Linked DNA regions of Ovis aries. The protein of the gene in region 3 purifies or fractionates together with the protein of the main gene of each other region. This does not show direct contact. Links are inferred from orthologs where the notes say so. Each region holds a gene or a part of one and is shown on either strand. Other genes may lie near its edges.

Evidence for each region.
Region 1: the proteins of HDAC3 (region 3) and CCND1 purify together in Homo sapiens (affinity purification with western blotting; 5 studies listed by BioGRID and IntAct, with this or other methods). This does not show direct contact. The link is inferred for Ovis aries from reciprocal best matches to the Homo sapiens genes HDAC3 and CCND1.
Region 2: the proteins of HDAC3 (region 3) and XPO1 purify together in Homo sapiens (affinity purification with western blotting; 3 studies listed by BioGRID, with this or other methods). This does not show direct contact. The link is inferred for Ovis aries from reciprocal best matches to the Homo sapiens genes HDAC3 and XPO1.
Region 4: the proteins of HDAC3 (region 3) and RUNX1 purify together in Homo sapiens (affinity purification with western blotting; 3 studies listed by BioGRID). This does not show direct contact. The link is inferred for Ovis aries from reciprocal best matches to the Homo sapiens genes HDAC3 and RUNX1.
Region 5: the proteins of HDAC3 (region 3) and RELA purify together in Homo sapiens (affinity purification with western blotting; 3 studies listed by BioGRID and IntAct, with this or other methods). This does not show direct contact. The link is inferred for Ovis aries from reciprocal best matches to the Homo sapiens genes HDAC3 and RELA.
Region 6: the proteins of HDAC3 (region 3) and ATXN3 purify together in Homo sapiens (affinity purification with western blotting; 3 studies listed by BioGRID). This does not show direct contact. The link is inferred for Ovis aries from reciprocal best matches to the Homo sapiens genes HDAC3 and ATXN3.
Region 7: the proteins of HDAC3 (region 3) and STAT3 purify together in Homo sapiens (affinity purification with western blotting; 4 studies listed by BioGRID). This does not show direct contact. The link is inferred for Ovis aries from reciprocal best matches to the Homo sapiens genes HDAC3 and STAT3.

The regions. Positions count from the first base shown.
Region 1 is NC_056074.1:43,280,741-43,284,924, reverse strand, and holds the start of CCND1 (G1/S-specific cyclin-D1), read right to left. Parts: upstream 2,801-4,184; 5' UTR 2,641-2,800; coding exon 2,443-2,640; intron 857-2,442; coding exon 641-856; intron 135-640; coding exon 1-134. UniProt on the Homo sapiens protein: Regulatory component of the cyclin D1-CDK4 (DC) complex that phosphorylates and inhibits members of the retinoblastoma (RB) protein family including RB1 and regulates the cell-cycle during G(1)/S transition.
Region 2 is NC_056056.1:46,574,116-46,578,237, forward strand, and holds the start of XPO1 (exportin-1), read left to right. Parts: upstream 1-1,322; 5' UTR 1,323-2,103; intron 2,104-2,530; exon of another isoform or gene 2,531-2,588; intron 2,589-2,982; exon of another isoform or gene 2,983-3,502; intron 3,503-4,122. UniProt on the Homo sapiens protein: Mediates the nuclear export of cellular proteins (cargos) bearing a leucine-rich nuclear export signal (NES) and of RNAs.
Region 3 is NC_056058.1:50,380,170-50,383,669, reverse strand, and holds part of HDAC3 (histone deacetylase 3), read left to right. Parts: intron 1-1,045; coding exon 1,046-1,127; intron 1,128-1,257; coding exon 1,258-1,314; intron 1,315-1,439; coding exon 1,440-1,495; intron 1,496-1,888; coding exon 1,889-2,022; intron 2,023-2,500; coding exon 2,501-2,581; intron 2,582-2,961; coding exon 2,962-3,035; intron 3,036-3,191; coding exon 3,192-3,256; intron 3,257-3,500. UniProt on the Homo sapiens protein: Histone deacetylase that catalyzes the deacetylation of lysine residues on the N-terminal part of the core histones (H2A, H2B, H3 and H4), and some other non-histone substrates.
Region 4 is NC_056054.1:267,702,961-267,706,460, forward strand, and holds part of RUNX1 (runt-related transcription factor 1), read right to left. Parts: intron 873-3,500; coding exon 619-872; intron 1-618.
Region 5 is NC_056074.1:40,273,169-40,276,237, forward strand, and holds the end of RELA (transcription factor p65), read right to left. Parts: intron 2,917-3,069; coding exon 2,836-2,916; intron 2,749-2,835; coding exon 2,674-2,748; intron 1,927-2,673; coding exon 1,292-1,926; 3' UTR 501-1,291; downstream 1-500. UniProt on the Homo sapiens protein: NF-kappa-B is a pleiotropic transcription factor present in almost all cell types and is the endpoint of a series of signal transduction events that are initiated by a vast array of stimuli related to many biological processes such as inflammation, immunity, differentiation, cell growth, tumorigenesis and apoptosis.
Region 6 is NC_056071.1:54,598,870-54,602,868, forward strand, and holds the start of ATXN3 (ataxin-3), read right to left. Parts: upstream 2,801-3,999; 5' UTR 2,771-2,800; coding exon 2,747-2,770; intron 1-2,746. UniProt on the Homo sapiens protein: Deubiquitinating enzyme involved in protein homeostasis maintenance, transcription, cytoskeleton regulation, myogenesis and degradation of misfolded chaperone substrates.
Region 7 is NC_056064.1:42,178,038-42,181,537, reverse strand, and holds part of STAT3 (signal transducer and activator of transcription 3), read left to right. Parts: intron 1-772; coding exon 773-923; intron 924-2,505; coding exon 2,506-2,650; intron 2,651-3,238; coding exon 3,239-3,337; intron 3,338-3,500. UniProt on the Homo sapiens protein: Signal transducer and transcription activator that mediates cellular responses to interleukins, KITLG/SCF, LEP and other growth factors. Once activated, recruits coactivators, such as NCOA1 or MED1, to the promoter region of the target gene.

The DNA.
Region 1 (4,184 bases), on a different chromosome or scaffold from region 3:
TGCGCGTGTTTGCGGATGATCTGCTTGTTCTCCTCGGCCACCGGCATTTTGGAGAGGAAGTGCTCGATGAAGTCGTGCGGGGTCATGGCCGCCAGGTTCCACTTGAGTTTGTTCACCAGGACCAGCTCCATGTGCTGCGGACCCGGGGGAAACGCGTGTCGAGAGGCGCAGGCGCGGACCCCAGTGGAGCAGGGGTCGGAGAGAGGGGATGGGGGTCGCTGGAGGGTCCGGGAAGTGAGGGGGAGAGCGCGCGACCCCACATTCCGTGCAGGGACGGTGCTGCTCGCCAAGGGTCCTACCCTAAACTCAGCCCACCCTGGGCCGGCGGAGACCAGGGGCCCGCCCACACCTGGAACGCGGAGCCGGGTCAACCGCGCGGGCGCCGCCCCGCCGCCGCCGCTGGAGGGCGCGCGCCCCCCACTTTTCGCAACGCTGGGGGCGCAGAGGTGGTGGGAGTCAGAGGGAAAGCGAGGGGGGCGGCGGCGCGGCTGCGGGGCGGCGCGGGGCCCCGCCCGTGCGGCCGCCTTCCTTGGGGGCGAGGGTCTCTCGGCGGCCCGCCGGGGACCCCCGCGCCTCCCCCACCCCGGGGTCCCGCGGCTAACTGGGCGTTCAGGGGCCGTGGCGGGGGTCCCAGGGTTACCAGCAGCTCGTCGGGCCGGATGGAGTTGTCAGTGTAGACGCACAGCTTCTCGGCCGTCAGGGGGATGGTCTCCTTCATCTTCGAGGCCACGAACATGCAGGTGGCCCCCAGCAGCTGCAGGCGGCTCTTTTTCACGGGCTCCAGCGACAGGAAGCGGTCCAGGTAGTTCATGGCCAGCGGGAAGACCTCCTCCTCGCACTTCTGCTCCTCGCAGACCTGCCGGGGGGCACCGGGGGCCGTGACCGCCGCCGCCGCCGCCGCCGCCGGGAGCGCCCGGCCCCTCTGCGGAGACCTCGCGCCCCCCGACCCGGCTCGCGCCAGGGCGGCTGGACTGCGAGGTCTCTGAGCGCGCGGAGGGTCGGGGCAAGGGGCAGCAGAAGCCGCCGCCGCCGCGCCCCTCTTCCCCGGGAGTCCCCAATACTCACCCACCCCGAAACTGAAAGGGAAAGTCCCAGCTAGGCTGGCACAGTGGGGGCGGGAGCGGGCACAGCTGGGCGGCGTGTGTCGCGCGCGGGCTGTGGGTCCCAGGGACCCCGGCCCGCGTGGGTGCTTCGGGAGCCGCCAGACCTGGGGTCGGCAAAAAATGGGGCGCAGGGCCGCGGGGAGGGCCGCGGGGCTGGGCGCCGCGCTCGCAGCGCCTGCGAGACACAAAGGTGGCGTCCCAGGCCGCCGCGCCGCATTTCCCCAGACGTCATCTTTTCAAAAAATATTTAAAAATATAAAAAAATTAAGTGGGTACATAAAAATGCCCTGAAAATGACCCTCAGACTGTCCTTTACCCAGGCCGGGAGTCGGGAGCTCGTTGCGGGCTCAGGGGAGAGCCCCAGGAATTCAAACTCGGGGGCCCCCCTTCCCCCTGGGCGCGGGCGCCGTTTCCTTCTCGCAAGGGCACCACGCCGCACTTTCAAAAATTATTTTAAAATACTTGCGGTGCCCCGGGGAGCCCTCTGAAGGCCTGAAAACGTGCCCCTGGCCCCCAGCTCGCTCCAGACAGGTCCCCCAAGCTGAGATCCCGGCAGATGAGGGTCCATTCCTAGCGTCTTGGGGGCCACGCGACCTTGCAGCCCGGCGTGCTCTCTGGCCCAAGCTGGCCTTGCGGGACGCCCCGGGACCCACTGCTTGAACAAAGGGGCCCCCTTTCCCGAGAGGGGTCCCCCCACAACTACCCGAGCTCTGTCCCCGCGCCCCTCCCGCTGGGTCCCGGTGGCGGCGCGGCCCCTCGCGGCGGCCCCAAGCGCCTGGCCGGCCGCTCCCCGCCCCCACCCTGCCCCCAATTATTAATAAACACTTTTGCTTTGCAATAAAAGAACAAAGATGGCGCATAATACTGGCACGAGCGGCCCTTGCATACGTGTCCATGGATATTAATTTAAAAATCAAATCTATGCCCCCTCCCCCTGGAGCTGGCGGCTCAGCAGCCGCGCGGCCGCAAGAGGAGGCGCAGCGGGGCTGCGCGGTGGAGGTCCCGGCGGGGGCCACAAAGGACGCCCAGCCTGCGGGCCCGCACCCTGAAGCCAACTGGGGTGCCCGGGCAGTGGCTTTCCCCTAGGGTACCCCTCCTCGACCGCCGCCGCCCCCACCCACCCACGAAAGGAATTATCTAATGACCCCACCCCCACTCCCTCCTTGTTCAAAAAAATACCCTGAATATCTATATATTTTGGAACTACGATTCCTAGCAACACTCTGGCAAACTTCAAAGTTTGGGTGGGAGAGAAGGGAGGGTGATGAGTGGCAAAGAAAAGTGGGTTTGCGCAACAAGTCGCAGGAAAGTGCTAAGAGAGCCGCCCGGAGCCCCGCACCTCCAGCATCCAGGTGGCCACGATCTTCCGCATGGACGGCAGGATCTCCTTCTGCACACACTTGAAGTAGGACACCGAGGGCGCGCAGGTCTCCTCCGCCTTGAGCATGGCCCGCAGCACTCGGTCGTTGAGGAGGTTGGCATCGGGGTACGCCCGGCGAATGGTTTCCATCTCGCAGCACAGGAGCTGGTGTGCCATGGTTGGGGGCTCGGCTAGGTGGCCGGGGGGCGGCGATGGGTCCGGGGCTGGGTCGGCTCTCGACTCGGGCTCCTGCTGCCCCGCGCTCCCTCGAGCTCGTCTGCCCCTCGCCGGAGCGCGCGGACGCTGCTGCTCGCTGCTACTGCGCCGACAGCCCTCTGGAGGCTCTAGGACTTTGCAACTTCCAACAAAACTCCCCTGTAGTCCGTGTGACGTTACTGTTGTTAAGCAGAGATCAAAGCCGGGCAGAGAATGGGAGCGGGAAGGAGGGGGGCCGGGCGCAGGGGGAGGGGGCGCGGGCGCCGAGCGTCGGGGAGCGGCGAGGGGCAGAGCCCAAAAGCCATCCCGGAGGCGCCGCGCCTGCACCGCGCGGTGTTGCCCCCGAAGCCGGGTTTTCATAGAAATGCAAACCGTCCTAAGGCTGCCTTTCTCCCCGCCGAGGAAGAGGGGTGCAGGAGCGGGGGTTGGGGGGGGGGTCTGTCCTCCCCGAGCGGGTCCCGCAGGATTTGGGGGGTTGGGTGACGGTGGCTCTGCAGAGGGGGACAACTAGGAGGGCGGGCAGGCCACACGCAGCTGGGGGAGACCGTGTGGAGGGGGACGCTGGGGTTCGGTGACACTCTGAGCCGGGAGAATGGGCGCATTTCCGAGAACGCCACGAGGGCACCCACGGGCGGAGGCAGCCAAGGGATCTTAGCGTCTACGTCTTCTTTCATTTTCATTAACACGTGTAAATTTCAGGAACCATTTACCATTCAGGGACTCAGGGCAGAGCCGACAACCCCGGTGGAGGTTTCATTCCCGCACCGAGGGGGGTCTGTGCAAATGCCGGAGGGGTAACCCCCAAAGTTAAAGGGCTTTCAGCCTAACACGCGCTCGCTCAAAAAATAAAATAAAATAAATGCCCGAAAATTCCAGCAGCAGCCCAAGATGGTGGCCAGCATTTCCTTCGCCCTGTCCTCTTCGCCTGGGGGATCTGCGCACTGTCTTCCTACCTTAGCTAGTCCATTCTTGCGGGGGGCCCCCAACACTTCCCCCCCGCCCCCGCCCTGTGCCGGCAATTTAACAGCTAGAAAAACACTCTGAAAGGAAGGCTGCAAAACAGTGGTCTCTGTCCTGTCTCGTTTTTTTAATTAAAAATTAAGCTAAATCGCTGGAAATATTGGTCGCCTCCCCGCCTGGGAGAAGACCACCGGAAACTTCCTAATTGGCTTTGTTGGGGGTGTGGACCTCTCTTCACCTTTAGAATTTGCCCGGGGGCTGCATTCGAGAGCCTGAGGCGGTTGGCGGGGGTCTGGCAACAATCAGAACAATTACAAGTTAAAGAAATAGGTGTATTGATCTGATGATTTTAAACAAAACCTATATATATTCGTGGCTATACGCGAGTCCCCAATATTAATCGCAAACTTATAAGAATATAAAAGAATATAGTTTCAGAGACTGAAAAGATTCAGTCTCTTTGGTGCTTATTTTTAAAATAAAAGGACATCTTACCCAGTCTTAACATTTTTTTAAAGTTTTTACTCTACCTGCCCCAAATTAAG
Region 2 (4,122 bases), on a different chromosome or scaffold from region 3:
TTAGGCAATGAATAAAAATTTTAGGTCTGAAAGGAATCCAGTATCATTTTGGTACATCTAGTGGAAGGCGAGGGAATTGTTTCAGTCCACTGTGAGAATTTGGTGAAGAAAATTGTGATTTAATAAACCATTTATCAACCTCTTGGTGGCACAATGGGCCTACTAAAATTTGGTGGGCTGCTTGCTATTTCTTCAGCAAAGAACAATCAGTAAAGCACTTGATGGGCACTTGGGGACAAGAGAGGCAACGATGTGAAGGGCCACGTGCATGTGACATTCATAGAAAATACTATTTGGTGATGATGAAGTACGCAAAGGACAGTTATGCTGAAAGAAAAAACCTAGGGTAGGGGAAGATCAAGGGTGGTTGGCATGGAAGCTTACCCAGCAAAAACACGCGATGTTAAGCCAATTACAGGGATTATATAGTGTCTTAATTTTTAGGAAGGATTCCTTGTTGAAGAGGCCACATTCAACCTGGGGAGACACCGAGGTAAATTTGAAAAAGACTTGACCACGAACTATTTAGGTACCTTTTCTACATCTGAGAAAATTACGAGCCGCACCTTCTCAACATTCTGGTCCCCAAACCAGGCATTTAAAATGGATTAGAGAGGTCTGGGGCCTACAGTTGGCCTCCACTGAGGTCTTTTCGCTCTCTTTTTCCACCCCACCCTTTCCCGAAGAAAAACACAGCTGGGTGTGCCCTCTCTTTTAGGAGCGCAGCCCCCATCTGAGGGGGCGGGTCCGGATCCCGGCGGGCTCAGGCCCCGCAGGTTGGCGGGACCCGGCGGGGGCGGGCCAGCGTGGGTCTGAAAGAAGCGGAGAGAATGTTGGCCGGCGCGCGCCGCGCTCAAACTCGCGCCACCACTAGCTCACGAGCTGCGCCCCACTCCCTCCGTCACCAAAGGCGCCCAGCCAATGAGCGGGCCGGAAAGGCCGGGCCTGCGGGCTAAGCAATGGGAGGGGGAGCGACGGGAGGGGGCGGGAAGTCGAGGGCGGGCCACACTTGATTGACAGCTCTCTGGAACCAATCCTCTGCACGGCTTCTCTTCGCTCTCCTCTCTGCTCGGCTCAACTCTTCGTCCCACCTCTTTCTCCTCCACCCCGCTCCTCGTTCCTTTGCGACCCGCCCCACTTCCCCTCCCCCACTCTGCGGGCAAATCGCTGCTGGAAAGAGGCGGGGGCCTAAGCAGCGGGCTTGTGTGGCGCCTTGAAGTGGGATTGACAGGCGGCCTGACCAATAGAAGGTACGCTGATGGCGCGGCTGTGGCTGGAACCGGCCAATGGGCGAGCGGGCTGGGGGCGGAGGCCCAGGTTCCAAACGCTCCGCGGCGCCATGGGCTGAAAACTCAACCGAGATGGAATCTCCCAGTCTGAACCGGTTTCAACCGGTTCCGAGTTTGAGGCACTAGGAGGAGGGGGAGAAGCGGCTGCAGCGGCCGCGGCAGGAGCAGCGGGAGCTACAGCATCAGCAAGAGCAACAGTAGCTACAGCCCGGGCGGCGGTGCCTGTTCCAGTCTTTGCTGCTGCAGTCCGTGCAACCACCCAGAGGGGGAGGGGGGAACCACCAGTCGCTGAGGAGCAGGAGAAGGGGGGAAAGTTTAGGCGAGCCTGGGTGGGGGGGGCCAGCGCCGGAGCCGCGTGAGAGAGGGAGCCGTATTTTGGTAGGGGGAAATCGGACTGCAACTGGCAGCAGAGCGTCCCCCGGCCGTGTGGACTCTACAGCCCCTACTCCTGCCGCTCCTGCTGCCGCCTGTGGCTGGAGGGTCCCCCTGGGGCTGAATCTTTGGGACTTGACCCCGTTCCCCTCCCCCTTCTCTCACTCCCCAGCCAGGCGGGAGCATTTATCCACAGATTAATTCCCTTTTTTAGGGGGGGGGCGGGTGAGTGTGCGTGTCGGCGGGAGGTGTCCCCGAAATAGTAAATATTGTTGAGCTTTTTTTTTTTTTTTTGCCCTTATCCTCTTCGTTTGTAAATTTCTTTTTTAAGGTGGGAAAACTGTGAAACCCACCTTGATTTTCCTCCCCTCTCCCCCCTCCCCGTCCTCCCTTGCCCTAATACCCCAACAAGGAAGGAAGAAGCAGTTGGTTCAATCTCTGGGTAAGTCGACTGTGTCTTCGGGGCCGAGGGTCGGGCGGCGGCGCGGCTGGGCGGGAGGAGGCTGGCGTGGGGCGCGGCGGCGGCGGCCGCGGGAGGCGAACCGGGGAGGCGGCGGGGGGCCCACAGCAGAGCTTGCGATTGAATGGAGCCGCTTCTGCTGCTGCTGGGGGATGGAGGCGGGGAGGCGGCCGCGGAAGGGGAGCGCTGGCTGGGTCACTCGTGTGTACGGGGAACGGTGGCGGAAGGCAAGGAGCGAAATAGTGAAGTCGGGCCCTGCGCGGGGGTGGAAGGGCCTCTCTCAGCCCGGTGGGCTGGGGAGAACTTGGGGAGATTTTAGGAACATTTCTGTAAATTATTAGGAGTGGAAGTTTCCAGAAATATTTAGTGCAGCAGCATTGAAACGTCCGCCTGCATCACGTGGCCCTTCGGTGGAGAGCTTGGGATCGCGGGAGGGAGGGGCTGTGGAGTCCTTGCTCCTCCTGCAGGTAAACTCAGAATCTCTTGATTTTTTAAGAGTAGAAATAGAAGCAGGAAAGGTTAGTTGCTTTTTCAGGGATCTGCAGATGAGGTTCCGTGCTATAGTTTGTTTCGGGGGACTTGGGTGAGTTAAAAGTGATCAACTCATTTACTGCTGGCATTGTACAGTAGGTGATACCCTGATTCTCCTTTATTCCGATGCCTGAGTTTGGGGTGGGCGGGAGGAAATGGTGTGCTGGAGGAAGTATTAAAAGATTTGCCCGACGCGGACCTCCTCTGATCACGCAGAGGCCATGCTGCATAGAGAATGGGGCGGTGAACTTCAGGCGCCTGGTCTAAATGCCTCCTCCCGAGTATGGGCGGGGTGAGAGCGTGCTCCAGTCTGCTATAGTTAGAAGTGCTGCACTTCGCTTCGGGTGGGAAGAGAGGGGGAGGGCGGGCCTTAGTGAGGTGTGTTTCTACTGAATGAAGCAGGCAGTTGCTCACACACCTAAAGTAGCAGTTTCTCCTTGCAGAGACTTGCTTTTTTGGCCTACTATGTAGTTATCATAAAGCAGCGGTTATGATTTTCTGGTTTTGGGATGGGAACCCGCAGTGTGTAGCTGCCTGCCTCTTCAGTTTGAAGTGGCAGTGGAGGTATTTTGGTCGTCACTTGTGGAGTCACCACATGGGTGGTTAATACTTTATATTTACTATACTGTGAGTGGAATTTAGGATTGGATGTCTCAAGAAGAAAAGGCTTTTGTGGTCTCTCTTGCCTCTCCCTCTATGGTTTTTTGCTATCTGCCTGATTGTACATCTTAAGCGTGTGGGACACTGCTGTTAGTGGAAAGAATGTTTTGGAAGCTATTTGATTTGGGAGACTAAATGTGCTTGGCATTGACCAGAAAGCCGCCATTTCTGTACTACAGTTAAAGAATAGGTAGGTCATTTCGAAGATAGTAGCTAGTTTTAAGGGTGGCATGCCCTGCTGTATTTAACACAAGCTTCTATTCTGAACCTGATCTTTTCACAGGAATTTGTTTCGAAGGAATTTGTAAGGACAGTGTACTTGAAAACTGTTTGAGTCACTTTTTTTTTTGGTTTTGGCTATTAATTTTTAAGATCTTATTTTTAAAATTGTATGGCACTCGAATGGGGGGAATTTACATTTGACATTTGTGCAGTATATATATTTTTATTAGTATTTAGATCAAATATTGTGTGTTCAATATTTTGTATTTGAAATACATTTAATAACTACTGTAGAAAATTTTGAAATCTCACCACTGTCAATAGTGGATGGAAAGACAAGTCTTAAATTCATAATTCCTCAACTTTTACATTATATCTAACCTAACTGATCCTTCAGACTTTGTTGTAGTTGATATCATTAAAACATGAGTTAAAAATTGAAATTGCTGCCGTTAAGAACGTTTTTAAACTGTTGTAAAATACCTAAGAAATAAGCCTTTTTCCTAACAAGCTAGTTTGTTCAGATCCAGTGTAATCCGGTTAGCCACCCTATTTCCTGGTCTTGGAAGGTTAAAAAGAGGGGGAGAA
Region 3 (3,500 bases):
CGCCCTTGAATTTATTTATTTATTTTTGCCATGCCTTGGCTTGAAGGATCTTAGTTCCCTGACCAGGGATTGAACCCAGGCCCCCAGCAGTGAAAACATGGAGTCCTAACCATTAGATTGCCAGGGAATTCCTTGAATTTATCTTTTGAAGAAATGAGGCTGTTGATCCTATAGTTTCCTACAACAGCTACAGTTTCTTGAGTAATTTACTCTGCTGTGCTGAGGATTACTGGTATATCCACTTAATTCTTACACCAACCCTGAGATGTAATAGTCCTTTTCATGATGGTAAGCATTAAGTACATACATTGAAATTTGAGGAGATTTTGATAACTTAGCCTGAACAGTGGCAGTGGCAGGATTCAGGTCCAGAGGCTAGGTTTTTAAACACTACACCAATTGGTTTCCCTGAAGAGCCTTCCAATAGAAGCAGCCTCGGCTGGAGGATTGAGGTCGACTCCTTAGGTTGGCATTGAGCACCTTCCCAACCTTATCCCCACATCTCTGCTGCACAGGGTGTCTTCTCAGAATACCCTTTGTTCTCCAGTCAGCCTCTCCAGGGCCTTCTCAGCCTTCAAGCCACCACAAAGCTTCATGCCATGAAGGCTTTCTTGACCACACCAGCCCCAGAGGTCTGTCCCGCACACACTGCCCTGCTTGTTGGGTTGTTCAGGCACATGCTGTCTTGGGAGCTTTCTTGTTTTTTGTGTTATTGCTCCTGCTAGTTTTGAGTTCGCTTTATAGGTCTGGGAATGTAAAGTCCACCCTCAGGCCACAGCCTTGGGCCCTGTGAATGCTCTTGGTGCAATTAGCACTACTGTCACTGCGCTTCTCTACTTCCCATCCAGTGCCTTGAACAAGTTTCAGTATGTGGTTTCGTCCACAATATTTGTTGAATAAATTTGCAGATAACTTGGGTATGTATGTAGGAGGGGCAGACGGGGTTACTGAAGAAAGGAGACTACGGGGCTCTGGGCTGGGGAGAAAGGTGAAGGAAGGAAGTGGACAGAGGAAAAAGGGCTCCAACTTGCTCTTCTTCTTGCAGCCCCGTGTTTCCCGGGCTGTTTGAATTCTGCTCCCGTTACACAGGCGCATCTCTGCAAGGAGCAACCCAGCTGAACAACAAGGTAGCTGTACCCCAAGTCCTGTTTCCCCCTTCCTGTGGGTCCCTGAATCCAAGGCCTTAACCATGATCCTGAGCTCCCAGCTTTGGGGGTGGGCAGGAAAAGGACTATGAGTTGGGCGTTTGTCTTTCAGATCTGTGATATTGCCATTAACTGGGCTGGTGGTCTGCACCACGCCAAGAAGTTTGAGGTGAGTGAGGAGGTAATGGGGGAGACAGCAGCTCTGCTAGGGTAGGAGGTCAGGATGGCAGTCAGGGGGCGGCTGGGTGGAGGAATTGTTCCTCTTTGTAATACCACTATACTATCTTACCATAGGCTTCTGGCTTCTGCTATGTTAATGACATTGTGATTGGCATCCTGGAGCTGCTCAAGTAAGTAGCCCGGGAGGAGATGGGGCCACTTGCGAGGCTCTTGGCTGAGGTCTGAGACTGCCCTGGCCCTGACCCTGACCCTGACCTCCAGCCCCACACTAGCTTCTCCCAAGTTCTTGATGCTTTTCTCAGGCTGCCTCTTCCTGTGCTCTGCTGCAGATTCCCCGCTGCCTGCTCACATTTCAGCCTTCTCTGCACATCCCTCTCCTGTCCCTGCCTCCAGGCTGGAGCCCCAGGGTTGCCCTTAGGGAACTGGTGGTATTAGGTTTCAGGTGACTTGGGCCAAAGTAGACTCTTCATAATTTCTGGCCTTGTGTTTGGGAGGAGTGGGTTGGGGGCTTTTCCTCCTGGGGTTCACCTCTGCCTCAGACGCTGGCTTTGCCTTCACCCCAGGTACCACCCTCGGGTGCTCTACATTGATATTGACATCCACCATGGCGACGGGGTTCAGGAAGCCTTCTACCTCACTGACCGAGTCATGACAGTATCTTTCCACAAATACGGAAACTACTTCTTCCCTGGCACAGGTATGGAAATAGGAATGCCTGTCCCCTTCATACTCCTCAGCTCTTACCATGACTGCCTCCTCCGCAAGCTCAGGTCTCAATTCAGGTGGCCCCTCCTTGGAGAAACCTTCCCTGATCACCCTGTTACCCTGTCACATCACTCTGCTTTTTTCTTTTCAAGCACTGGTTGCTGTTTGAATTTATTGTGGGGTTTTGTTTTGTTTACTGTCTCCCACCTAATCATGCCTACCTCCCAAGAATATGAGCTTGGTGGGATTTCATTTATTTCGTTAGTTCTTTTTCCTGCTGTATCCCCATACCTAGTTCACAGCTTGGCTCATAGTAGGCCCTCCAGGAGTATCTGTTGAATGAATGCAAGCTGCAAGAGACTTAGTGGTTTGAGGGAGTGTGTGGCGGACATACACAGATGGAGTGAGAGGCCCTCAGAGTACATGGTGGGGTTGAAGCAGCTGGCGCCCCCAACCCCTCTCCCCCACAGGTGACATGTATGAAGTTGGAGCAGAGAGTGGCCGCTACTACTGCCTCAACGTACCCCTGCGGGACGGCATTGATGACCAGAGTACGTACTAAAGTCTTCTCCCTGCTCACTAGGCTCCTTCTCTCTCTCCCTCCTTGAGTTAACCTCTTCTGCCTGGTATTGTCTACCGTTGGGCCAGGTGTCCTTCAGGATGAATGGCCTTCAGAGGGACCATGAACTCCCTGGAAATTGTATGCAACATATTGTGTGTATGTGCATTTTTCTGGGAAAAAGGTCATTAGCTTCCATCAGTCCCTCCAGAAGTCTCATGAACTTCCCCACCTAGAAGTTTGGAACCAATAGTGGTCCCTTTGGGTTGCCCCTTTCCTGGGCTACACGCTCTCTGAACCCCCTTTTTCCTTTTGTTCCCTGTCTCCCCATCCCCTTGGGGTGCCAGGTGCCCATCTTTGGCCCTCTCCCAGGTTACAAGCACCTTTTCCAGCCAGTTATCAACCAGGTGGTGGACTTCTACCAACCCACGTGCATTGTGCTCCAGGTAATACTGTCCGTGCTTCCTTAGGCACTCAGGCTTACGGGAAGAGAGCAGGAAAGAGGAGAATCCCTAGGCTGGTGGGGGAAGGGAAGTGAAGGACATCGGTGACATTCTGAGTAGTTCTCTCACTGTAGCCACCTGGGGTTTTGATTTTTGCAGTGTGGAGCTGACTCTCTGGGCTGTGATCGATTGGGCTGCTTCAACCTCAGCATTCGAGGACACGGGTGAGAACTGCTCTCCTTCCACTCTTCCAGGTTTTCAAGTGGCCTTGGGCTTCAATACATGGAACGGGTAGCTGGGAAACAGCCCTCACCTCCTTTTGGGACTGAAAAGTAGCTGCATGTTGTACTTTGAACCAGAAATGTCATCTTGAGCAGTGTTCCCCAGTTGGCAACATTCACATTAGGTTTTTGTTAAGCACCTGTTGTGTTCCAGGCATTGTACTAGGAGATGGGGAAGCAGTCAGGG
Region 4 (3,500 bases), on a different chromosome or scaffold from region 3:
AGGAATAGGCTAGAAGCTCAAAACAAAACAACCACCAAAAACACCCCTCAGAAAACTTTTGCAAATTTAACAGAGTCCGCCGTGGACTTTGAACTTGCTAATTTCTACAGTGCAGTTAAACAGGGGGTGGACGTGGGGAAAAGCCATGAGAGTTTTCCTTGTCAAGTTTCTTTTCCTGGATCCAAAGGTATATCAGAGTATCTCGATTTTATTTCCTGATGCCTTCCTCAGAAGGGCTGGGTTCCGGCCGGGTTATAACTTTTCCTACTTTGGATCAAAGCGAAGGACCGATGCCCGGGGAGGAGGTCCCGCCGGCCCTCCGTGGACTTCTTTGTGGGGGGGGGCACCCTGAATTTTTTCAACCATCCCCCGGAGGCCGCGGCGGCCTACTGAAGCGGGACCCCTCCACCATCGCCCCCCCGCCCCCAGCCCAACCGAGGGTAGCCACGGCAACGCAGCATCCCCCGTGTGCGCAGCGCAGAGGGATGGACCACGGGCCTCCGCGCCGGCCCCTTTCTAGAACCCGGCCCCGCCTGCCTGGCCACGGCCCTCCCCGATCGCCCCGGCGATCGACCGGCCTCTGCCTGTCCTCCCGCCACCCGCTCCGGCCCGAGTTACCTTGAAAGCGATGGGCAGGGTCTTGTTGCAGCGCCAGTGCGTGGGCAGCACGGAGCAGAGGAAGTTGGGGCTGTCGGTGCGCACCAGCTCGCCCGGGTGGTCGGCCAGCACCTCCACCATGCTGCGGTCGCCGCTCCTCAGCTTGCCGGCTAGGGCGGCGCCGGCGTCCGGGGCGCCCAGCGGCAGCGCCTCGCTCATCTTGCCCGGGCTCAGCGCGGTGGAAGGCGGCGTGAAGCGGCGGCTCGTGCTGGCATCTACAGGGATACGCATCACAACAAGCCGATTGAGTTAGGACCCTGCAAACAGCTCCTAACAAACGGCGACAGGGGCGCGGATCTTCAGCAAGCAGCTCCCGGGAGACCAACATACAAGTTCAGGGACCTTTATTGCTGCAAGGTGGCTGGGGGAGAGGGGGAGACTAAGTTACGAACAGTCCAGGAAGGCTGAAAAAGTTCTAGTTCTGACAATCGGCCTCAGCTCAGACCCGGGCACCGACCGCTTAGTGCTTTGAAAAGTGGGCGACCAGAATCCAAAGTCAAGGGCCAAGGGACCCTATCTTCTGAGTTTTGCTTTGAGAGTTTGAAGGTTCAGTCTTTGGCTGTTACAGAAGTACCCGGAGGCAAAAATTCCCATACACTTCCTAAACTATTTATGCGGAGAGCAGAAGGACCAGCAAATATAGGATTTGGACGTTCCAGTAGTTAATTGCCTGTCAGTTCTTCTTTTTTTTCCCCCCAGGTGAGTTTTGTTTAAAGTCCAAACAACAGAAAATATACGAGTGTCTTCAAATACGGCGCCACTTTTTATTCATGCAAAACTGGCTTCGGTCCTCAAAAGCGAGAGCTGAGACTTCCAAAAGGTCCTGCTTCTAATGTATGTGCACATATATATAAACATATACATATGCTCTACTTCATAAAATATTTACAATACAATCTGTAGAGAAATTAAACACAACAGAAACCCATTAATGTTCGCTGCACGTTTTTGTTTTTTTTTTTTCTTCTCTAAGTAGCCTTGAGAATCAGCTTCAGTAGTTGAAGGGCTGGGCTAGAAGGACTTGTCATGTTTTCAATAAATTCTGGCAAAATGCTCAGTTCAGAAAATTCAAGCTTTATCAAAGAAAAAGCTGATCTTAAAAAAAAAAAATCCAAGTCGATGATATTCAGGGTTCAGCTCTCCACATTTGAGAACTCGGGTTTGGGGATGTTGGTTAAGTTTGTGGCTGATCCTGTGGTTTGGTGGGAGGTGAGCTGCAGCGGAGTCAGACGCACGCAGGCACGCACTCTTCGGGAGCCAGCCGCCGTCTACATCGACTCCGGTGAGTCAGCCCCGACTTGGGCAGTAGCGAGACGAGCTTCCTCCAACGTCGCCCCAGCGCCGGCCGGGTGAACTGCCCGGACGCGCCAATTTACCCACACACCGCGGAACCGCAGCAGGTGGAGCGGGCCCTGGCGAGAAAGGCTCCGCAGCGCAGATCGCAACAGACGGGGCGGCTCGAGTTACACAAGCACGCACACTCTGCCACGCACACGCGCCACTTCACCACTCGCCACGAAGCCCGGCGCACTCTCTCCCGCTGTTGTCAAAGGACACAACCGGAGAAAAGTTCACACCCAGGAAAGAAATGGAACCATCCAGCCAAGAAACCAGTTCATTCAAAAGTAGGAAAAGGCAAAAACAACAACAAAATCCTCCCCCACACACAATTCAAAATCGAAGTTCCAACGCGGTTCTATGAAAAACAGCAAAGACTGACTTTCTTCTGGCGTCCCCAGTATCCCCAGCAAGAGATGCCTGCCGGCTCAGGGCCGGGCAGCGTGGTGCCCTGGCTGGGTCCGGCCGCGGGGCGCTCGTCCCGCCTGCGCCCGCTGGCTCTATGAATGAGAGTGCCTGGAAATGAACGTGCTTTTACTGTAAGCCCGGCCCGAGGAATTCCATTCCCTCAGCTCGTTTGCATAGGGGCGGCTGCCGGCCAATCACAGGCCTTTCCGGTATCAGGCAGGGCGCGGCTCGGTGCCGCGGGCTCCTGGAATTGGCCCGCGCGCCCCCGCCGCCGCCGCGCGCTACTGTACGCGGCCAGGGTGGAGAGTCCACCGCCAGCCAGTGCGGAGGCCACGCCGCGCTCCCCGCATCCACATACCCGCACCCACACGCTCCTACATTCGCTCGAGACCGCCATTCCGGTGCGGACGGCGGCGGCTTTGCACACTCGTGGGCTTGCGCGGCCGGCAGTCAGTCAGCCCGCCCGCCCCGGGGGGCTGCCGTGAGCGGCCGCGCCAGGGGCGGCCGTGGTTCGGAGACCCAGGAGGTGGAGCAGAAGGCCGGTCGGCCTGGAGGGACTGGGGCCGCGCGCTGAGCCGCAAATGGTCCGGGATCAGAGTCTGTCGGAGAGAAGCATCCGCGAGCCATGGAGATAGATGAAGCGGCCGCCGCTAGGCTCCCGAGACCTGGGGGCCGGGGGGCCCCAAGGCCTCCACTTTCCCGGCATGGATGGGACTCGCCGCGAGGGGGCCGGGAAGGGCCGAGGGCCCAGCCCGGGGAGCCGCTCGGCGCCGGTTGGCAGCCGCGGCGAAGTGGCGCTGATTCCTTTACTGAGACCAGACGGTGGTCGGTCTCCACGACCTGCTTTTTGTGTTGAGTTTTCTTTCTGGGTTTGTTTTCTTGGTGTTTTACGCTGCGTCTTGACGCGGCGCGCCTCGCTCAGGTGGAGTTGAGCTTAGTGGCCAGCGAAGGAGTTCCGTAGTTCAGAAGCCGCCCCCCCCCCCCCCGCCCCAAGAACAAGCGACTGGAAAGAAACTGGAAAGCCTCCGGGCGGGGTTCCCCCGCGGGGCCCAGGTCGTTTGCGCCCCGCACCCACCTCCAGCTCCCCGGAAACGGCC
Region 5 (3,069 bases), on a different chromosome or scaffold from region 3:
GGCGGCTTCGGATTTAAGATTTCCTTGGTCCTCCCAGGGCAGGGTATTAAAGGACAGACCTTTACCTGGCACCTCCCTTCCCAACCACTTAAGAGATGAAACCCAAACCTCTTAGCCGAGCCTCTTCATCTTTTAGACTGGCCCATAGAATCTTTCCAACATTGTCTCCTATCCCGCTTACCTATAAATGCAGGCTAGCCCCTCTGCTGATGTATAGACCTGAAGCTAAGCTAGCGTGGCCTTTGTGAAGCCCTTCCTGAAAATGTTCCATCCCCACGACTCCTGGGTCCAACCGGGCTCTCGCTAGGCTGACTTCCCCTCGCCCCCTATAGCCGCCTGCTTTCATTCACTGGCTGGTAGCGAGTGTCCAGGGATGTCCGTGGACTGCAAGCTCCCCAGTGGCAATGTATTCCTCCAGCAAATGTGTGCCTCCAACTCTGTATCACCAACATCCAGCCTGAAATGACCAGCAAAGAGTGTGCTCAAAAAAGACAAATCTCTAGCCAGCATTGTAACAAATTTATTAGTTCAGAGTAGAAAAAGCAATAGTCTATAAATGCTTTGATTCTTCAGTAAAAACTGAGCCTTTTGACTGGAGAGCAGCCAGCCTGCTCTCCCCGACTCTGAACAGCTCGTCCTACCATTAAGGCACTTGAGAAAAGGAGGAACAGAGCAGTCTCAAAGAGAACCTCCCTGGATCTTGGAGAAGGCCAATACTGTCCCGCCAGTCCCCTTCAACCACAGCCCAGCAAGGGAAGAGCTGGCAGAGACCTCCACGGGTGGGGAAAGCCAGGCCCTCAAAGGCTGGTAGATAGGCACAAAGAATGCCGCACCAGAGAGGGGCGCATAACAGGGGCATTATTTTGCCTCAAGGTATAAATGAATCTATGATTTGAGGAAGACACTTGTAATAAGGCTTTGTGGCCTCCAAGGCCATAGCTCCAGCCTGCCCATCTCTCTAGGAGAGTACTACAAGCTGGAGGGTGGGGTTGGAGGACCCCAGAATTTTCTGTAGAGCCTGGAGCTGAACATCAGGATAAGGGATAGAAGAGTCTGAGTCTTCCCAGCTCTCCCCTTTCCAGAGAAGTTAATGCTTCTGCTTAAGCACCTCCAAAAAGAGAGAGATACTGCCAATAAAAGAATAAAATGCACCCCCCCTCCCCAGGAAGACATCACCCAAAGAAGCTGGGGGCAACTGGAGCACACCCTCCCAGAATCCGTAAGTGCGTGCTTTGGGAGGGCTTCAATCCCTTGCTAACCCACTGCTCTGGGCAGGGCGGGTATCACCCCTTTAGGAGCTGATCTGACTCAGAAAGGCTGAGAAGTCCACGTCCGCGATGGAGGAGAAGTCTTCATCCCCCGAGAGGAGGCCATTGGTGAGCCCAGGGGGCCCCAGGGGAGTGGGAGCTGGGTCAGGGGGCCTCTGGGACCCTGTCACCAAGCGAGTTATAGCCTCAGGGTACTCCATCAGCATGGGCTCAGCTGTGTGGGGGCCCATGGATACACCCTGGTTCAACAACTGCTGAAACTCAGAGTTGTCGACAGATGCCAGGTCTGTGAACACAGCAGGGTCAGTGTTGTTGCCAAGCAGAGCCCCCAGGTCTTCATCGGCATCAAACTGCAGCTGCAGCAGGGCCTCTGTCAGTGTCCCTTCCCCGGTCTGGTTGGTCTTGGGGGCAGGCGGGGTCACAGCCTGAGCCAGGCCTGGGGCTAGGGCCTGGGCCAGGGTTGATGCCATGCCTGGGGCTGGAGCTGGGGCTGGGGCTGGGACCGGGGCCAGGACTGGGGTCTGGGTCAGGACCGGGGTGGGGGCTGGTGCCAAGGCCGAGGTTTGGCTTGGGATCTGCCCAGAAGGAAAGACCATGGGGGAAAACTCCTCAAAGTTGATGGTGCTGAGAGATGGCGTAAAGGAATAGGGCTGGGGAGCTGGAGAAGAGAAACAGAGAGGCAGGGGTCAGAGAAAGCCTCGGAGGCACCCCCTCCCCCCAGCTTCTGCACCCCAGCTGCTGCCTCGAGTGCTGAGGCTCACCCCTTCCCTGTGGCATCACCGCTGGCACCCTACTCCCTCCTCTTACCCAATCTGGCCTCCCCTGTAGGGCCCAGTTCCAGGCTCCCCTCCGTGGAGCCCTGCCTGTCTACCCCGGCCCACAAAGCTCTCACAGCCTTTAGAGGAAAGGATGCTTTCAGAGCGGGCACAACCTTGTGCCCGAGCAGCCGGCAGGGAGCAGCGCCTCTTCCTCCTTCTCTGAGACACACAGCAGCACAAACATTACAGGTTACTGTTTTGCTACTGTTTTGCCCCACTTCAATGGAGAACTAAGAGCAGAGACTGCATTTTTGAAACTTCTGCATCTCAAGGCATCCAATGTGGGTTTAACTGACACCACATGGGTTCTCATCCCCAGGGGGGTGCTGGTTCCTGGGACACACTTCCAAAGCCTCTGATTCCCCATGTCTGTAAGGGGCCCGGGAATCGGCATCTTCACTGCTTCCCAGCTGGCTCTGATTTTAGGCCACGAAGGCTCAGGCCCTGAGAAACAGGAGCCCAACAGCGAGCAGGTTTCAGACACCTGCTGGTGAGACTGCTCGACTCTCTCCAAGAGGTTTGGAAACCATGGATCGAACAGATTTGAGCCTACAGTTCCAGTGTGACGACCTTAAGGAAATCCTCACCTGGCTTGGGGATGGAGGCTGAGCCGCGGTTAGGCACAGCGATGCGCCGGGTTGGAGGCCGGGGGTCGGTGGGTCCTGTGGGGTGAAGGCTGGGTCAGTTCTTGGTGTCTAGGGTCCCCTCCCTGCCCACTGCTCTCTGATTCTCCCGCCGCCCCCTCTTACCATTGAAAGGGCTCTTTTTCATGATGCTCTTAAAGGTCTCGTATGTCCTTTTGCGCTTCTCCTCAATCCGGTGACGATCATCTGGGAAAGTAATGGAGGGAAGTGGGTCCTGCTTGTACCAGTGGACCCCCAAAGTTCCCAAAGGACTCTCAGGAGGTAGGCGAGAAGACAAACCTTTTTCTAAGAACCTTTCTCTAAACCTCACCCAGTGAGAACAGCTGCACGACTCTGTGA
Region 6 (3,999 bases), on a different chromosome or scaffold from region 3:
GGTGCCCCTACACGTGTTATCCTTAATAAAAAATTCAAATAACAACAAAAAGTCTCTATTAAGATAGGCTATTTCACTTCAAGAGCTACCTAATACAGTGACCAGATACTGCAAACAGCAGAGGTAGGATTCAAACCCAGGCAGAGTTTGTACTATTAACACTTCCTTAAGCCACTTATTTGGAACTTGGTGAATCTTAAACCTCAAATAGCCTGAAGATGGATAGGAAAGAGCAGTCTCTCTCTCACACACACACAACAAAAACATCATGAATGTCAAGGTCAACACTCAGCATCTTTCCAGTATTTTCACTAATCTTAAATATAATCCCAACAAGTTTGGTTATCATTCTCAGTTGTAAATGCATAAAAGTATCAATTCAGGTGGCAAAATAATAACCTCACCAAGAGCAGTCAGCAATAGAAGTGATAATGACAGAAAGCAGGTACCAGAACCAAAAAAAAAAAAAAAAAAATTGAAACAACAAAAAAAAAAAACCAGTACTAGGTGGCCATGTAGCGTTAAGGGTTTAAGTTAGGGACTGGCAAACTCTAGCCCGTGGGCCATATTCACTCTGCCCCAGTAGCTAAGAATGATTTTCACATTTTTAGATGCTTGGGAAAGCATACAGATACACACACACACACACACACACACACACACACACACACACGAATATGTGAGAATATAAATGACTTGCAAAGTCTAAAATATTTACAGAAAACCTGTTTATATAAACAGCACCATATCATCTTAGATGCTCAAGGAACACTCTTGATTCATTCAGATATTTACTGAACACCTACTATGTGCCAGATACTGGGGATATATCAATAAACAACTCTTGAGTTTACATTTCAACTTATTAAAGGGCACTTCAACTTATTAAAGGGTCACTTATTAAAGTGACAACTCTGAAAATGGGGAAATCAGAACTCCAAGAGGAAGTGGCTGCAAAATTCTCTGCAGGCAGACATCCCTACACGCAGATTCCTATCGGCTACAGTTGGTTCTCTGGCTCTCCAAATCCAGGACCTGGAGTTAAATACATGAGGAGCAGGAGAAGGGAGTGCTCCGGAAAATGTCATATTGATTCAAACATCCCCAAAATGGCCTCTGTAGAAGATGGGCAACAGGTCCGTGGTTATAGGTGCTTTCTTTACCTCTGAAACATCCCTGTAGAACTTGAGTCTTCATTTGCTAAGTACATGCAAGGTGATGAGGGTAAATGTGTTCTTGAAAAGTCTTTAAATCTATATTGAGGCTGATAATTCAGAGTGACTGCTCTAAGTTAAGTGGATTTTCATTAGGCTAGTGTCCAACTTCTTCTGATCCCATGATTAAGATCCCACTGCAATCTATCTAAACTAGGTACCAATGAATATTGTTTTTTTTTAAAAAAAAAAACATTGCATGGTCCTCAAAAAGTGATGTGGAAAAATTTAAAGTTTTCAATGTGAAACATCTGGTCCTACACCAAAGCTTCTGAAATTAGTCATAAAAATATGTCCACTCAATGTTCTTTTCATCCAATCTCCTTAGCCAAGCAACTAAATTTCTCTTGTCCAGGATTCATATATGTCAGCCAACTGAAAAGATTAGTGATAACCAAACACTGAGTCCTTCCTCATCCACCAAAAAAAAAAAAAAAAAAAAAAATCTGAAATGTTTTCTATAAAGAAAAGCATTCCATAACAATTTGTTTGAATTTATACTGCACTTCGTCTCTGATTGCTTTGATTGCTGTGTGTGTGCATTTTAAAATGGATATATAAGTATTTAACAAAACACAACCCCTTTGCTCCTACTAAATAACAGCCTCAGCAGCAACTCATTCCAAACATGAAACTATTATGAAATAAGATATGTGTTTAAGCCGACCTGAGGAAGGTTTCATTCACACTCAAATGAAATGGTAATTGTATGCGAAAAAAGACGAGTTTATCCACATGCCACAAACATTAATCTTCAAGTGCATAGTCATGGAAGAATCAAAGCACAATGGGCTAGGCAGACAACAACAACATTATTCCTGCCCATCCTTAATACCTAACAAGAAAGCTAGCCTCCTGATCCGGAAAGATGCCACTACCGAAAGAAACGAAACCCAAACTCCTCGTAACAGAAACTCTTGTGACGACTTCCCAGTGCAGAGGCGCACCGGGTTCCCTACTTCACTTCGCTGAAGTGTCACGCCCTCCATGGGGCGAGCCAAGGTCCCTGCCTCGAGAGGCTTACGGACTCAGTGCAGGACAAGGATCTAAGGGTATGGGAGATTCCAATATAGAACGAAGAAGCCCAGAGAAGGAAAAGTTAATTCTTCCAAGGACTAGGACTGGCAGAGTGGGGTGGAACTGGGAAGGATAGAGGAAGATGTCCGAGAGGTGACTAGCTAGGATGTGGGGAGACGGAGAGAGGGGGACAGGAGAAGAAATTTCACGGAAAGTGGAGGGGAAGCGCAGAAGCCATCTCCTCTCTCGTGCCCGGAGGCGCCCCCGGCCCGGCCCTTATCCCGTCCCGGCTTCCTAAACATCCCCGGACCGGGTCTCCTCCGGATCCTCCGGCACGGGCCTTGGGGTGCAATGGGGACAGCGGTGAAGCTCCCTTCCCGGGGAAGCTCCTCCCGCCCGGCGAGATCTGGATGGGGGCCTCTCGGGCCCCACCCAGCTCCCCGGGAGGCGGCGTTTCCGCACCCCACGCCCGCCACCGCGCCGTGGACAGCTCCCCACCGAACGTGGACACTCACTTTTTCGTGGAAGATGGACTCCATGTTTATTTGTCTGGAGCCAACGGCCCCCGCGCCGAACCACCCCCCTCCAGCTCCGCCCCCGGCCCCACCCCTCCGCCCCGCCCCGCCCCCCCGCGGTCTGCCCTGCCCACGTGCCTCACGCAGACCAATAATCCCCGAGAATGCGAGTCACGTGGAGAGACGAGGCGTGAACGCTGGGGCGGTAAATGAGGGGCACGTGACCTTCGTAGCGCATCCTAGCATTCCTGGGTTAGCCCCTCAACCTGAGGAGTGCTGCAGCGCCTCCTGCCGTATGGAGGATCATCTCCCCTTCCCACTCATTGTCATGGATTCTTAAGCTTCTAGGGATTTGTTTTGAATAAGGATCACTGAGGTTCTATGTTCTTTTTGTTTTCTACTTTTACTTTGTATTTGTATTGTCTTTTTTATATAATATTTGCTTACGGTAATTTAGTATCTTTCTCCTCCCCCACAGAAATTTTCATCGCATCCCTCAACACTGACCACGTGTGTGAAAATGAGAGTTATTATCTACATAGGACTTACTGGCAGGTTGGCACTCTTGGAAGTGCTTTGCATATGTTAAGAAATTCAATACAGCAAACTTTGATGTAGGCATTATTATCCCTATTTTACACACTGGGAAAGTGAGTCATGAAGATAGAACAGCACAACTAGAAAGTCCAGACACCTTGTTACTAGATGTAAGTGTTCTGGCCCGAAGTAGAAGCATAAATTGAGGGAGGTGAAAAGCCCGGTACAGTGGTGGAGGAAGCTGAAGGAGTAGGATAAGCGCAGGTCTTGTATCCTGAAACCAGGTTAAGGAGGGTGTGCTTTTTTTTTTTTTTTTTTTTTAATCTTCTTGGCACACTGGCATGGAGGACCTTAGTTCCCAGGTGAAGGATTGAACCCAAGTCGCCTACATTGGAAGCATGGAGTCTTAACCAACAGACTGCCAAGGAAGCCCTAGGAAGGTGTTCTTTTCACAGGCAATGGGGGGCTATGGAAAGATTTTACAAGGAGGTGAGACAGACGCAGATGTGTGGGAGTGATCAGTTTGGCGGAAGCAGAGATCCATTACTGTCAGAGGAATCCTGGGAGAGATGACAGTGTTTGGACTAGCATCATAACTTAGTGATGGAAGGAGACCATTCTGAGAGATAATTAGCAAGTGAGACTGAAAATATGAAAGTGTCCCACCCTTTGAGACCCATACACCATAGCCTGTCAGCCTCCTCTGTCCATGGAAT
Region 7 (3,500 bases), on a different chromosome or scaffold from region 3:
GCTTGCATTCTCCTTCCTGAACATTTCTCTGGGGTATTCATGAACCTGGGGACAGCTCGAATGCCTTTTCTTTAGCTTCTCTTCTTTCTCACCCCAGACTGAGAAATTTTAAAAACATAATTACTCTTTTTTGAATGGGAGAACCCCAGGCAGATCCTTGCTGTAGGTTTAAATCTGTAGTCCTTTTTAACTTTTTATTTTATATTGGAGTATAACCGATTAACAGTGTGGTAGTTTCTAAATCTGTAGCCTTGGAATTAGCTCTTTGTCCTCCCTGAACACCCACATCCCACGTTTTGGTCTTAGTTCAGGTTTACGGTATTCATATCTCCCAGTCCACCTAAAAGGAATGCCAACTGGAAAGAAAGGAACTCATATCTTTTGAGCATCTATTGTGTGCTGAGCACTGAGCTGAATGCTCTAGAAATATTATTTCAGTAGCCCAGAGAGCTGGGAATTATAATGTCTGTGTAATAAGAAGAAGTGAAATCTGGAAGTGAAGTAGTTTCTCAATTTCACATACCTCTAGGAGATAATGGATTCTAGAACTTGGCACCATGCCCACACTGTCATCTTGGTTTAGAAGAAAGAAGCTGTGATGTGGCCCCAGGGATAGAGATTTGAATCCATATGTATTGTTCTAAAGTGGGTGGAGCAAGTGAGAGCCTTTCCACACACCTTTTATCCCTAATCACAGACCTGATCCCTGTGTTGGATAGATCATTTCCTCTTACTGGGGCTGGTAGTGACCATATGAACCTTTGGTTTGCAGTTGTGACCCCTGATTCCAGCAGAATGGCCCAATGGAATCAGCTCCAGCAGCTGGACACACGGTACTTGGAGCAGCTCCATCAGCTGTACAGTGACAGCTTCCCCATGGAGCTGCGGCAGTTTCTGGCCCCTTGGATCGAGAGTCAAGATTGGTAAGTCCTTCTCAAGAAACTCCCCAAATTGCTAGGCTTTAGTTTGAGTCAAGAGACATGATCTGCTCTAACTTAACTCTTTGCTAACTATTTCATCTTAAAGCTTATAGTTGCAGGTGACGGGACAAAAGAGATTGGAAAGTAAAGAGGTCATTTTAGTCCTGAAAAGCATTTTTACATTAGAAAGGCATCTGGAAAGCTGTCTTTTGGCACGCTGAAACATCCTGCTTGATGGTTCAGTTCAGTTGCTCAGTCATGTCCAACTCTTTGTGACCCCATGGACTATACCACCCCAGGCCTCCCTGTCCATCACCAACTCCCGGAGTTTACTCAAACTCATGTCTACTGAGTCGGTGATGCCATCCAACCATCTCATCCTCTGTTGTCCCCTTCTCCTCCTGCCTTCAATCTTTCCCAGCATCAGGGTCTTTTCAAATGAGTCAGTTCTTCGCAAGATTTGAAATTGAAAGTAAAACCTGTTACTGGTTCAGTCGTGTCTGACTTTGTGACCACATGGGCTGTAGCCTGCCAGGCTCCTCTGTCCATGGAATTCTCCAGGCAAGAATACTGGAGTGGGTTGCCATTCCCTTCTCCAGGGGATCTTCCCGACCCAGGGGTTGAACTCAAGCCTCCCGCGTTCCAGGCAGATTCTCTACCATCTGAGCCACCAGGGAAGCCCATTTTAATTTCATTTGCTTGATGAGATTCTCTGCATGTTCTGATGCTTCAGGGACATGCTACAGATAATTTCTTTTTAATCTGAATGAGAATTTTGTCATGGGTAAAAAAAGGTTTGGGTTTGTACTTCTGATTCCTCTTTCATTAAAGAAAAGAGATACAGAGTTAGAGAAACAGACTCAGTCATAGAGGAGATAGGGGTTCCCTGGTGGCTTAGATGGTAAAGAAATCGCCTGCAATGCAGGAGACCCGGGTTCATATCCCTGGGTCAGGAAGATCACCTGGAGAGGGAAATGGCAACCCACTTTAGTATTCTCGCCTGGAGAATTCCATGGACAGAGGAGCCTGGCAGGCTACAGTCCGTGGGATCGCAAGAGTTGGACACAACTGAAAGACTAACACTTGGTCATAGAGGAGATAATGGTACAGAATCCCAGCAACTCTTTCCTTCACTTTAATGTATTCAGATCCACCTTTTAATTTTGGTTTAATTCAGGCCCATGACCTAGCTTTTCCAGAATTTGATGAGGGGCCAGGGAGGTAATTCAGAGATGTTGGAAATAGGCCATCCTAACCTGGGATTGGTTATTTGCTACTGAAAATCTGACCATAGAGTTGACTGAGAATTTAAAGGAAAACAGCATATCTGACCATTCAAAATTTGATAAATATAGAACTATGACAGTCGCTTAATAGTATCCAAAATAATTGCTGGTAATTTTAAAATCAGTGACTTTTATGATTGCTGAGTAAGATGTATCTAAAATGGTGAGTGGGTTAAAGCTTCAGGTTTGCCTTGTTTTTCCCTCCTTGATGGTGATTTCGAGTGCATGCCTGTGCGTGTGAGCGTGTGTATGTGTGTAGGTTTCAGAATCATTCTTTGTCTTTATCTTCCTTTTTCTAGGGCATATGCGGCCAGCAAAGAATCACATGCGACTTTGGTGTTTCATAATCTCTTGGGAGAAATTGACCAACAGTATAGCCGCTTCCTGCAAGAGTCCAATGTTCTCTATCAGCACAATTTGCGAAGAATCAAGCAGTTCCTTCAGGTGTGAGGAGAAACTGAACCTGCAGAGAAGGGTTTTAGCTTTCTTTCCTGAAAATGTTTGTTTCTCACTTGGTTAATTAATAACCTATCTTGTACTTTAAATCCAAGGAGAAGTTACCAGCCCTTTCAGTATTATTGCTTGAAGTTTACTTGGTTGGTTCATTGAAATAATAATGTGATTTTTATGTTAATTATATTATGTTAGTATGCGAATGACATGATTGTAACAAGTTCAGATGACTAGGAAAATGGCTCTTACTTTTCAGTGTCAAAGGCTTGGACACCGTAGTTGGATACTCCTTGACAAAGTCACCCCCCTGTAAGACCAGGATAACTCACTGTCCAAAGTCTGTCTGTCCAAAGACAGACAACCAAGCCTACTCTCACTACAGTACTGCTCATCGTGATTGCCTTTCTTCTCCGTCACTTCTCCTACTGACTGTAGCCAGGCTCTGATGCTCTGTGGTTCCATGTAGTAAATGTAACACTTTCCCTAGTTTATGAGGAAGTTAGCTTTAAGTTAGCAAAGTTCGGTCCACATCTCCTGAGCTGCTGCTGATTTTCATTCTCTTTGTCTCCCCACTTACAGAGCAGATACCTTGAGAAGCCAATGGAGATTGCCCGAATTGTGGCCCGTTGCCTGTGGGAAGAGTCCCGCCTCCTCCAAACTGCAGCCACTGCAGCCCAGGTGAGGCCTGGGAAGAAGCAAGCGCTGTTAATATGTGCTTCCTTCACGTGTACGAAGATGTCCTTGCCTTTTGACCTCCATAATCGTGGGTGTTTGGGGGTTGTGTACAGTAAAAATAACTTTCTCAGCATATAAAATGCATTCTCCTTTTTAAGGAAGACTT